Nothobranchius furzeri: one gene and its partners. The protein of the gene in region 2 purifies or fractionates together with the protein of the main gene of each other region. This does not show direct contact. Links are inferred from orthologs where the notes say so. Each region holds a gene or a part of one and is shown on either strand. Other genes may lie near its edges.

Region 1 (3,757 bases), on a different chromosome or scaffold from region 2:
GAAAAAGCAAAAGGCTTGATATAGCTGTTGATATGTTGAGTGTATAATTATAAAAATGTTGAGCATAGACGTTTTAGCTTCATCTTCGGACCTTGTATAGTTGTTGTATAATTTCCAAAACAGAACAATAGCCGAAATTAAGCTGCTGGTAGCTCTGCCACATTCAATCACTGCATTCCTCATTTTAGATGCTGGGAACATTTCCTAATGACTGCAGCCATTCTAAATTATTGAAAAAGCCAAAGAACCACATCAGCTACAGAAATGGCTATTAACCTTGGAGAGTGATATTCAAATCCAGTAAGATCGAACTCCGTCCTCCAGTGTCCCTTGCGGGGAGGAAATGTAAATGTGTTCTAGCTGAAACAGATGGGAAAACCTTCCATCGTTTGAAGTTCCAGCAAAAGAAGTCGCTGCAAGCAGAGGGCTCTCCACCCCCTCAATAAAATATTCAGCACCAAGTCTCACGAGCCACCTTTCCCAGTGTGACTTCGCAAGACAATGGACTTCCACACTGCTGGATTATTACTAAATATGGGCAACTTGCAAGACATTAACTCTTTTAAATGTTTACAAATTCACCACTATACAGAGAGTGAAAAACAGCCTGAGGATTATCTCACTGTGCACAAAGAACTCTAGAGATCTGATTTACGAGTGAGAGAAAGAAACATCATCCCATGACTCCTTGAGGAGCATTTTGGAGCCTAAATATGTGAAAATTGTGATGTCCTCTGTATTGCTGTTTACACACCACCTCAAATAGAATTTCTCAGCTGAGCTGACACACTGTCAGACCTGATTTGATTCTATTGTGGCGATACCTTGCTGTCAATCATTTCCTTCTCCGATACTGTGCTGTGGACCAGAGAGAATCCTTGATTATTACTCTTATCACTTTACTCAAGAGAGACCACGAGACCGAGAAAGGGAAAATGAGTGGGTGATGAGTTGAAGAAGAAGACCAGAAGGTACAAAAGCCTGAAGTGAGATTATAAGTATGTAAGAATTACTTTTGAAGACCTTTGAATGGATCAAACCACTAAAACAGAGTGATTCTACCAGATTCTTCTGAAGCACAGTAGAACCAGGATTTTCAATGGAACCAGCAAGACTCCAAAATCTATTTTATGACCAGAAATTCCAGCTGAGATTCACTACGTTTTTATATGGTTTCTAAACATAGAACAAATCAGTTTTAACTAATTATTTTTGGAAAGCTGGGCTTTTTTAATGCAAAGAGGGGGTAGACCGATTTATCAGTCGGCCAATGTGTCCGGCCGGTATTTACCTTTTTTTTTATGTATTGGCATTGGCCAATTATCTACTTGGTTGAGCCAACTTAAAGTGACGTGTGTATTTTCCCCAGCGATAGGGGGCAATATTTACCTAAATCATTGCAAGTAAGCACACACACACACACACACACACACACACACACACACACACACACACACACACACACACACACACACACACACACACACGACGACCCTGCATGGATAAAGTGGGTTCAGAAAATGGGTGGATGGATGGATGGATGGATCTCTATAGTGATTGCTATTAATGATTCTCAATGCTCTTCTGTAGAATAAACAGTGATTGTGTACGAGTTTTACATGTGGATCCCCATATTTCTACACAGTAAGTCAAGTATGGAACAATTAGTGAGTTATACAATGTCAGCAATCCAGAACTATTCAGTAAAAACTTAACTTTATGTAGTACTGCAATGGCTTTGGCAATTTTACCTCTGATATAACCTATGTGTGACTTCCAGGTGATAGCTTCATCAATCATGACTCCTAAAAATTTCGTTTCTTTCACCTTTTGAATGTCCATTCCATTTATTTTTATTGTTACATCTTTGTTGTCTCTGTCATTAAACAATATAAAACTTGTTTTATTAAGAGTTAAATCCTGCTGGAATATTTTGACAAATGAAAACGGTAATCCAATATGGCAGATAGCCGTTATTAACACCTCATAGATATTAGATCATAGGGCAAGAGTTAACCTTTGTACTGTGCTTATCTAAATGAGGTTATAGTGCAAAACGCAGAGCTGCAGTGTGTTCTAGGAACAGGGTACAACGTATCATTTGTCAGATCTAAAGCTGTCTTTAACTGCAGGTATTATTTACGACAGATTATAAAAGTAAATGTAACACGTAATATACTCAATTTTGATATTTTAACCGACAAACACACAAAGTTAACACGTTGTAGTATGGGCAGAAACTCTACAAAGGTTAAGCTCCACTTAACCTTTGCAGTCTGATTAAGACCAAAGCTAATCAAGACTTTAGTGAACGATTTTTCAGAAAAACTCCAGCTGAAAAGGTATAATTTCTAGGAAAACACTTGTTGTAAGGTGTTTTCAATTGCAGTGATTAATACTGACCCAGCGTGTCACCACGGAGCTGTCACATTGCTGAACTGTGATCCCTAACTCTTCTCTCACACATGCTAACACGCTAGCTCTACAACTACTGCAACCACGGTGACAGCGGTCCAACACCGCCATAACCCGCCGGAGAGGGTAAAAAGCGTCTGTGTAGAGACACGAGCAGTACCGGTACCTTTAGTTTGTCCAGAAGAATGTGTTTTGATGTAGCTGCCCTCAGTCTTCTAGCTGCAGCCTGGGATGCCATGGATGCCGCCATGTTGACACGCAAAACGAGATGACGTAGTGGCCAGTGAGAAGAAAATGTTCATTGATTGACAGCAGGATGGAGGCGGTCCTTAAGGTGGAAACACCCACATCCACTCATCTAGAAAGATGTGTGAAAATGTTTGTTCCTAATCTTTGTAGCTCTGAATTTAGTAAAAAAAAAGTGTGTGTGTGTGTATATATACATATATATATATATATATATATATATATATATATATATATATATATATATATAGATAGATAGATAGATAGATAGATAGATAGATAGATAGATAGATAGATATGTATGTATATATATATATATATATATATATATATATATATATATATATAGATAGATAGATAGATAGATAGATAGATATATATATATATATATATATATATATATATATATATATAGATAGATATATATATATAGATATAGATATATATATATATAGATAGATTTAGATAGATATATATATGTGTGTGTGTGTGTGTGTGTGTGTGTGTGTGTGTGTGTGTGTGTGTGTGTGTGTATGTGTGTGTGTGTGTGTGTGTGTGTGTGTGTGTACATATGTATATGTATGTAACTTTTTGTATTAATAAAGTATTAACGTAAAAGTTTTCAGAACTGTGTTACATTTTAGATATTCATGGTAAGTCTCTGATTATGGAGTTTATACAAAGGTTTCCAAGCATCTTAGCTGAATTTATTCTAATTCCACACTGATGCAGGCATTAGATCTACATAGGTTAAACATTTCAAATGCTTTGCTGTAGATTTACACACCTAACACTTTATTACATACACCTATTCAATTATTACCCATTCAATTGCTACTGGAAATACATCATCAGGAAATGGTAGCATTGCAGCAACTTGCAGAATTTTTACTATCAGAATGAGGACAATGGAGTATTAAAGTTGTTGTTGTTGGGTTTGTTTATTTGTTTGTCTGTTTGTTTGTCTGTTTGTCTGTTTGTTTGTTTGTTTGTTTGTTTGTTTGTTTGTTTGTTTGTTTGTTTGTTTGTTTGTTTGTTTGTTTGCAATGGCATGGTTAATGGTACCAGAAGGATGGTCTGAGTATTTCTGAAACAC
Region 2 (3,757 bases):
CGTGTCACTTTTTGAGACTCTGCATCTTCCCTTCTGTTACAGCATCTTCAGCTCGTTTGTGTTTCTGCATGGTGATCTGCAGCTGCCAGTACTTGAGGTAAACCCACATCAGGCTCCCGTTCTTCCTCTTGTCCATGTTCAGCAGATCTGCACAGTGCTTGTCTCTTTTAAAAATATCCTTGAGGTCAGACTCTAGATCAAGATCTGCCACGACAGGATCCTTGACAACCTTAAGGAGGATGTTTCTCTCCATCTCCAGCCGGTTCTCCCGAGGATGGATTACAGAGCAGTAGGCGTTCTGCCGCTCCACCAGCAGGCCTTCTAGCTCCTTCAGGGCGGCTGCAGCACGAAGGTACCAGCTGTTTTCTTTTTCCAGGGCGTCGTGCAGAACAGTACCTGCAGCTCCACACTTTACAAACTTATGCTTCTGGTCATTCAAGGCCTCTCGCTCCTAATGAGGAACAAAACAAAGGGTTTTTATTCATTTTAAAAGGAGAAAAAAGGAGGTATACTAATAAAGGCGGAGGCTCTGGAGACTTACCTGCTCCATCTGTTTGCGTTCCTGTATAAGATGCTGGGAGTGTGAGACCAGAGCCTGCTGGTAACCTTTCGCCCTCTGCCTCTCCTTCTCCAGTTCCAGCTCCAGTGTAGCCGCTGCTCTGCGGCTCTCTGTAAGTGTGTCCCGGTAACGCGCATCCATGTCACTTTGTATCGTACACACATCTCTGTCATACTGAGCTTTAACCTTCTCAATCTCCTTCAAAGATTCACGAGTCCAGATCCAACCTGACATGATGAAACACAAGAAACAGGAAGATATGTGTTTGCTGCCATTTGTGCCCAGTATTTCCCCACATAACCCAGACTGGTTTGCTTCTCTTGGATATTGAAATATGTAGAAACCCATAAGGACCACAGGCCCTTTTAACTTACGAAAAGCAGCCAGTCCCAGCATGGGGACCAGCAGGGCATAGTTCCACTGGTTTCCATCACCAGCAGCCCCCTCTCTTCCTCTGGGATCTGGTTGAATGTTCCATCTGGGGGGGTCATTCAGGTTGTTCATGGAGGTTTCTGTAAACAAACACAAAGAAAGCAGCCAAACCATAAGTAATATGAGATTCTGTAACAGCAAACAGCTCTGACTACTAAAACTTACAAAATATTTGCAATGGTTTATTATTTTACTGAATGAAAGCTTACATATAAAAAAACTATATTAATTCTTCGCATTGGTTAGCATGTAAACATCAATAAATTCAGGAAATTACGGGTTTCTGACAGAACATAAACAATGCTAGCTTCCGTTCAGCTAGCAGGCTAAGCAACCTTTATCTTTGGGTTTTATCTCACAAAGTGTATTTCAAGTTACAAGGGCAGCACCGCTTTACTTTTATTTTATAACACTGTACGTCTGTTGAATAATTACAGTGTTGCCTCACCTTGAATAATGTCTAGGTCACTTATGCATTTGTTCTTTCATATATCCCGATTTTACGTTTACGTGCTGGTCCACACACCGACAGGTGTGATTGTAGGAAACAACACAAAAAGATTTTCTTTTAATGCCCAAAATAATTTGGCATTTTATTCCATAGGCATATTTAATAGAGTAATAAATGTATTCAAATTATAGTGTAATTCAAATGTATCTAAACAAAAATAAAATTGGTTGTAAAACAATAGATCACCCCTTTATAAAAAGTGGTTTCGTCTCGACTGGTCCGGCAGCGAATCTCTTCCCCCCGCAACAGTTTCTTGCTGAAAACATGGCGACTGTTCGTGCTGCGTCTCGTCTCCTCTCCAGGAGAGTTCTGTCCAGAACAAAAGCAGTGAGTCACAGTAGCTTGGTATTTCAATAAATTCTTATCTATGTATACTCGTGATACGTTAATAAGTTTTGTGTCAACTGCAAGTGAACGTTTAGCTTTTGCCAACGGCAGGCCGGTCCAGCTTGCGTAATGTGTTATGTAGCTTCAATGTGACACAGTGGAAGAAAGCTGCACACCTCTCCTTTCTGTTTTCTGTCACTTTATTTATTAGGACAGCCGTTTAAAGGCCTTATTCGTTCAGGATATTCAGTTCAATTAAATTCAAGTTTATTCATATAGTGCCAAATAACGACAAGAGTCGTCTCAAGGCACTTCACATAGTAAACAATCCAATACAGGTCAGTTCATTAAGCCAATCAGAAAAAAAGTTTCCTATATAAGGAACCCAGAAAATTGCAATCCTTTACAGCTATCCTCATAGTAAGCAAGCATTTAGCGACTGTGGAGAGGAAAACTCCCTTTTAACAGGAAGAAACCTCCAGAGGATCCTGGCTCAGTATAAAGCCAAGCGTACACTGTGCGACTTTTTTGAGCCGATTTTCCACTCGTACGAGAATCCACAAGATCGGGGCGAGTTTTGCACTGAGCATCGCGTAGTATACTGGGGTTACGAGCGGCTATTAACACCACGTGACCAGCTACCGATCAGCAATCGTGAGCTCGCACGGACTTCTGGCGTGTTTGATATTTTGCTCGTCCCTCGTGAGGGTATCGCACTGTTGAAGCGGCGCTGCGAGCAGCTGCGACCCAAAAAGTATCAGAACCGCTCATGGCGCTTGTGCAATCATGCATCGACACTGCTCGCCCGCTATTTCCCTAATAACACACGTTGTTCGTTTTTATTTCTACACTTTTTTTTACTCACAAATATTGTCAACAAAGTTTGTCTGTCGTGTTCATGTCAAACTAAACTGATCACAAAACACAGATTTACTTTCTTTATTTCGTTTTCCTCATCCAACCCCCATAAATCCCTGTGTGTCCTCCTGCAGCACTCCCGAAGGACAACAGGCAAAACAAGACAAAAAAGTCTGACGTGTTGTGTAAATACAGCTATTTTTAGCATATTTTTAGGTCCGACGTGTTGCTACCAGATGTACAGTGTGAGCAGTCAGGTTGCATCCGAGAACTGGGTCGTACAGTGTGAGCACATGACTCGTGAGATCTGCTCTGCGAGGAAGTCGTACAGTTTGAGCTGAAGCTGAGTGCTACGAGTGAAAAAGTTGCACAGTGTCCGCCCAGCTTAAGCAGCCATCTGCCACGACTCACTGGGGATCAAGAAGACAGAGCAGACACACACACACCATATATACCAAGTAGTGTGTCTATGGTTACTTTGTGATTTCTTAGTAAATATTCTAGTTGGTGAGAGATAAACTTTATTGTATTCATCCTAGTGAATCTATAATTAAACGGGTAAACTAGTAGTAGCACATTCAGTGTCAAAGAAAGTAAAATGTTATTATCAGGAGAGGGAGAGTGTTTAAATGGTTAGCAACAGTCACACCGTAGTGTTTGTCTAACAGACCACCTAGATCTGAGCATTTGTTCACATGTTATCAGCCAGAGAGAGTCACAACAGGTTTTCTGGTAGCCATGGTGGTGATTCTCTGTGCTGGGTATTAATAATATTTACCTAATTATTATAAATTGCATTTCCCGATTCCTTAAAAGATGTTGGTTTTTTTTTTTGTAAACCTATAAAAATAGAAGATTCCCATGTTCACAGCTAATAAAACAAACGTGACCTTTGATCTAATCCCTATTAAGTACGTCAACACACACATTTACTATTCACCAGTGAAAGACTTAAAGATGTTTTTGTTGTGCAAAGTTATTAATTAGTTTTTTTTTGTAGTTAGTTTTTGTACTGGTCTTATCCGTATTAGCAGTAATTGTGTTGTGTAATTTCTCTGTCAGCTTCCTGC
Region 3 (3,757 bases), on a different chromosome or scaffold from region 2:
CCAATTTAGTGAGGTTTCTGAGTTAAAATGTTGCTTGGATTAAAAGCAAGAAGCTGAACTATAAGACAATTGGCTCTGAAGTTTGCAAACAGGATAGATCCTCTGAAATCTGATTGGTTTATGTGTAAATAAATGTTTCCATATAGTAGTTTTCTCAGCCAAAGCTGGTTATAAAACCTAAAAAGCTATGCTTTAAAATAGAAATGCCTCATTTATTTCCGTGCAACGCAACTATCTGAAAATTGTTTTTGTACTCCGGGCTGCTGCAAAATAATATGCTGTTGCCATTCTTACAATATTTCTATTTTTCAGCTTGGTTTCAAATCAGCAAGTGAAAAAGAAATTTTTATCATTTGTATTGCAGTTTTTAGTAGCTTTTATTTGTCTATTTTTGTTTTAACGGATTTTTATTCAATTTGATTTTTTTTATTATTATTACTCAGATTTTTTATGTCCAGTTCAGAACCTTGGGCCGCAGCTAAGGTGGTAGAAGGTGCTTTATAAATGAAAAAATTGAAATTGAAAAGAAGTCACTCAATGGTAAATGATTTAGCAAAGTTTAAAATCTTAAAACAAAGAGGTGGCTTCCTGCAAGTTTGTTAACTTTTTGTTGCTTTGATTCATAGTTAGTGAAGTGAAGAACATTTGGTAAAATCATTACTATTATCGATTAAAGTGCTGATAGAAGATCATTTTTAATGACGCACACAAAGGCTGTTTTTTTAACCCAAGCTAGTGAAATAACTTGACAGCAAACACTGAGAAAATCTACATCCACAATATTTAATGGTGAAAAGGTTAAAGCTATAGAACTTAAAACAAACAAATAAATAAATAAACAATAAGAAGCTTGTCCAAGAAAAACCTGTCAAGAAAAAACAATCACTCTCTCACCCGTGGCCCAGTAGTAGATGTCCCAGTCGTTGCTTGGTTCATTTATCAGCCTGTCGTACTGCTGCAGCTGGCTATAGGTCATTTTATTCAGGTATCGTTTGGCAAAAATGCTGCAAGAGACAAGAGGCATTTATTAGACTCCAAATTGAAAAGTGGACTGCACTTTCAAAAATACATGAAGCCGCATCAGCAAAGTTGCCTTAAAATATGTAAAGTTCCAAAATGTCACCTCATATACTATTATTGTGAATTCAATGGCAGACAATTCAGGGTATCTGCAGGTTTATGGGAGCCAAATTTAAGACTTTTTAAGACCTTATTTAAGGCCACTTTGACCAAATTTAAGCTTTTTTTTTTTTTCAATTTTATTTCTGCTATAATTTCCAGCTATTGCCTGGGACCGGTGCTAACCACGTCGCGAACGTGGAATTAATCATCCAGTTACCATTAAACTTGCACTTCTCCACGGCACAAGCTCCCACTAGCTTAACCAGCTAATGTGCTCATCTAAAAATAGCCCCCTTTCACAACCAACTGAATGTGTACGGTTCCGCTTACGCCAACATTATACACAAAAAATGCTGAAGACTAACTAGAAATTCACAAAAATGAATAAAATAATCTAGTTTACTGGGTCTTTGGTAATTTAAGACCTTTGGAAACTGTATTTAAGGATTATTTGTAATTTTTAAGGATTTTCAAGGCCTTAAATTTGGAAAAGTAAATTTAAGACTTTTTAAGGACCCGCAGTTACCCTGCAATTACAATAAAGAAAAGACTGAGTGTGAAAACCTGAGCAATATGCAGTTCTCCAACATGCCCCTCTTACGACTCTCATATAGAAGCCGACGTCTCTTGGTGTCAATGGGCTCATCTGCCCGTTCTACCCAGGGGGGCAAAGGGATTTCAATCAGGTCAACCTGGGGGCCATCAGGAGCGTCTCCACGATAACCACGGGATGATACCATCCCTATGATTGACGGTCTCCATGCTGCCTGGCAAACCCCTGTAAGCAGCTGACAGAAAACCAAAACACACAATCATATTATTTCCTTCTGTGATGTGTTCAAATTCTGTTGTTCAACTGATGCAATGTATTTTGTTGATACAATACACTAGGTTATACCATCTGAAACCTTGCACATGTTTTGGTAAAGATTACTAAAAAATATTTAGACTGTCTTATAAACCTGTGGTTCTAAATATTGTGCATTTACAGCTTAAATGTATGTGATCTTGGACTGTGCTGATTATTTTTGTTGACACAAAAAACATGTCTATCATTTACCTTTAAAATAACGGTTTAGCCATTTAGTTAATGTATATTATATGTACGTTTATATATATGACATCAAGCGTGTTGTGCAACCATCCTCCAACAGTAAACATTGTAAACATCCAACATTTGTAGCACCAAGGCTATAAGAGGTCAAACATGACGGCACATTTTGCGATCGTGCTTTTAAAACAGATATTAGAGAGCTTTAACTCTGTTGTGGTTTTTCACATCTTAAAATACACACAGTAGAAAAACCAAGAACTCACCCTTTTCGCAACAAAAGAAGACAGCATATTAAACTTCTTCTTGTACCGGTGGGTAGACTTAAGCGTTTTCCTTCTCACAAATGTCTTTCTCGACAAAATTACACAAGTATGCCTAGCTTGTAAACGCTCTTACGTCACCACCGGGCTGCAACGGCAAACTTCCGACTGCGCACATAAGTTGAGGTTGAGAGATGAAAGAGAAATGTAACTATAAAAGAAACATGCTTAAGCCACCAGAAATAAATATTAAACATTATTGGTTAATTTGTGTATCTGTAAATATTCGCACAACTCCCAAATAAATTAACTTAATGTGAATTTAAGCCTAGGACCCAAAAAGTGGATTGTTGTTCTCTACCGGGGAATTACTTCCTACGCACTGAGTGAAAAAACAAGGAGCGTTAGCTTATCAGGTAGCCAACATGCGAGATAAATAGTTTGGTTATGTGTTAATTTATCGGTAAAGACTACTGCCTAATTGAATTAGTAGTTCGTTAAATTTATTGTTTTTTTGGTGTTTTGTTTTAGCTAAAGATTTAGCTTTTTTTTTAGTAGTTGCGGACCTGAGCGAAGCGAGGACGGTTAGCGTGAAAACTGACGTTAACGTATATAATTTTAGAAAAATCGGGGCAGTGTTTGTTGTGCATCATAAATGTGCACAGTGCTGTTGTGCAAACTGAACAGGTAAAATAAGCGAAGCAACTAAAACGCTTCCGTGCCTGCAGTTGGCATCTGAGGCCCACACGATGGCTGCTGCACAACCTGCAGCCGAACCGAGTTCCTCCAAAAACGACATCGATATATACAGCGACTTGCATGCGAACGATGAGGTGAGCCTAACGGGAAAGCTTATTTAATCTGTATCAAATGTTAAAGTTAATCGTTGTACATTTTAAGTTCATTGCTTACAATTTTATGTGAGTTGTATTATGCAAAAAATTAAGATAATTTTAAAATCAAAATCAGAGATGTAATAAAATAAGTGGAAAATATAAATTAAAAGCGTTTCTTGTTCAAAAATGTCAACATTATTGTTAATTTTTTCTCACCCAGGATTTGGAAGCAAACGACCTTTTTGATGCTGTTCTTACTGGAACGGTTGATCAAGACAAAAAGACGATCACTAAGGAAGCTTCGGCTAAAAAAGAGGATAAACCAAAAGATGGGAATGCACATAAAGGAAGAGACTCTTCAGTGAGACTCTCTTTATACATTGGGAATTTCTCTTGGGTAAGCAGTACAACCCAGTTAGTGTTATTGTAGGAAATCTGCAAAAGCTGTTTTTTTCTTTTGTTATATATATATCATCTCCACATAC

The links.
Region 1: the proteins of sdha (region 2) and suclg2 fractionate together in Homo sapiens (co-fractionation; 3 studies listed by BioGRID, with this or other methods). This does not show direct contact. The link is inferred for Nothobranchius furzeri from reciprocal best matches to the Homo sapiens genes SDHA and SUCLG2.
Region 3: the proteins of sdha (region 2) and sdhaf2 purify together in Homo sapiens (co-immunoprecipitation; 3 studies listed by BioGRID and IntAct, counting the BioPlex papers as one, with this or other methods). This does not show direct contact. The link is inferred for Nothobranchius furzeri from reciprocal best matches to the Homo sapiens genes SDHA and SDHAF2.

What each region holds. Positions count from the first base shown.
Region 1 is NC_091743.1:57,342,538-57,346,294, forward strand, and holds the start of suclg2 (succinate--CoA ligase [GDP-forming] subunit beta, mitochondrial), read right to left. Parts: upstream 2,717-3,757; 5' UTR 2,666-2,716; coding exon 2,582-2,665; intron 1-2,581. UniProt on the Homo sapiens protein: GTP-specific succinyl-CoA synthetase functions in the citric acid cycle (TCA), coupling the hydrolysis of succinyl-CoA to the synthesis of GTP and thus represents the only step of substrate-level phosphorylation in the TCA.
Region 2 is NC_091745.1:56,806,148-56,809,904, reverse strand, and holds the start of sdha (succinate dehydrogenase [ubiquinone] flavoprotein subunit, mitochondrial), read left to right. Parts: upstream 1-1,445; 5' UTR 1,446-1,616; coding exon 1,617-1,847; intron 1,848-3,749; coding exon 3,750-3,757. Other genes in the region: coiled-coil domain-containing protein 127, read right to left, coding at 5-451, 542-1,105. UniProt on the Homo sapiens protein: Flavoprotein (FP) subunit of succinate dehydrogenase (SDH) that is involved in complex II of the mitochondrial electron transport chain and is responsible for transferring electrons from succinate to ubiquinone (coenzyme Q).
Region 3 is NC_091749.1:62,796,936-62,800,692, reverse strand, and holds the start of sdhaf2 (succinate dehydrogenase assembly factor 2, mitochondrial), read right to left. Parts: upstream 2,592-3,757; 5' UTR 2,467-2,591; coding exon 2,440-2,466; intron 1,911-2,439; coding exon 1,687-1,910; intron 1,005-1,686; coding exon 895-1,004; intron 1-894. Other genes in the region: cleavage and polyadenylation specificity factor subunit 7, read left to right, coding at 3,186-3,269, 3,493-3,669.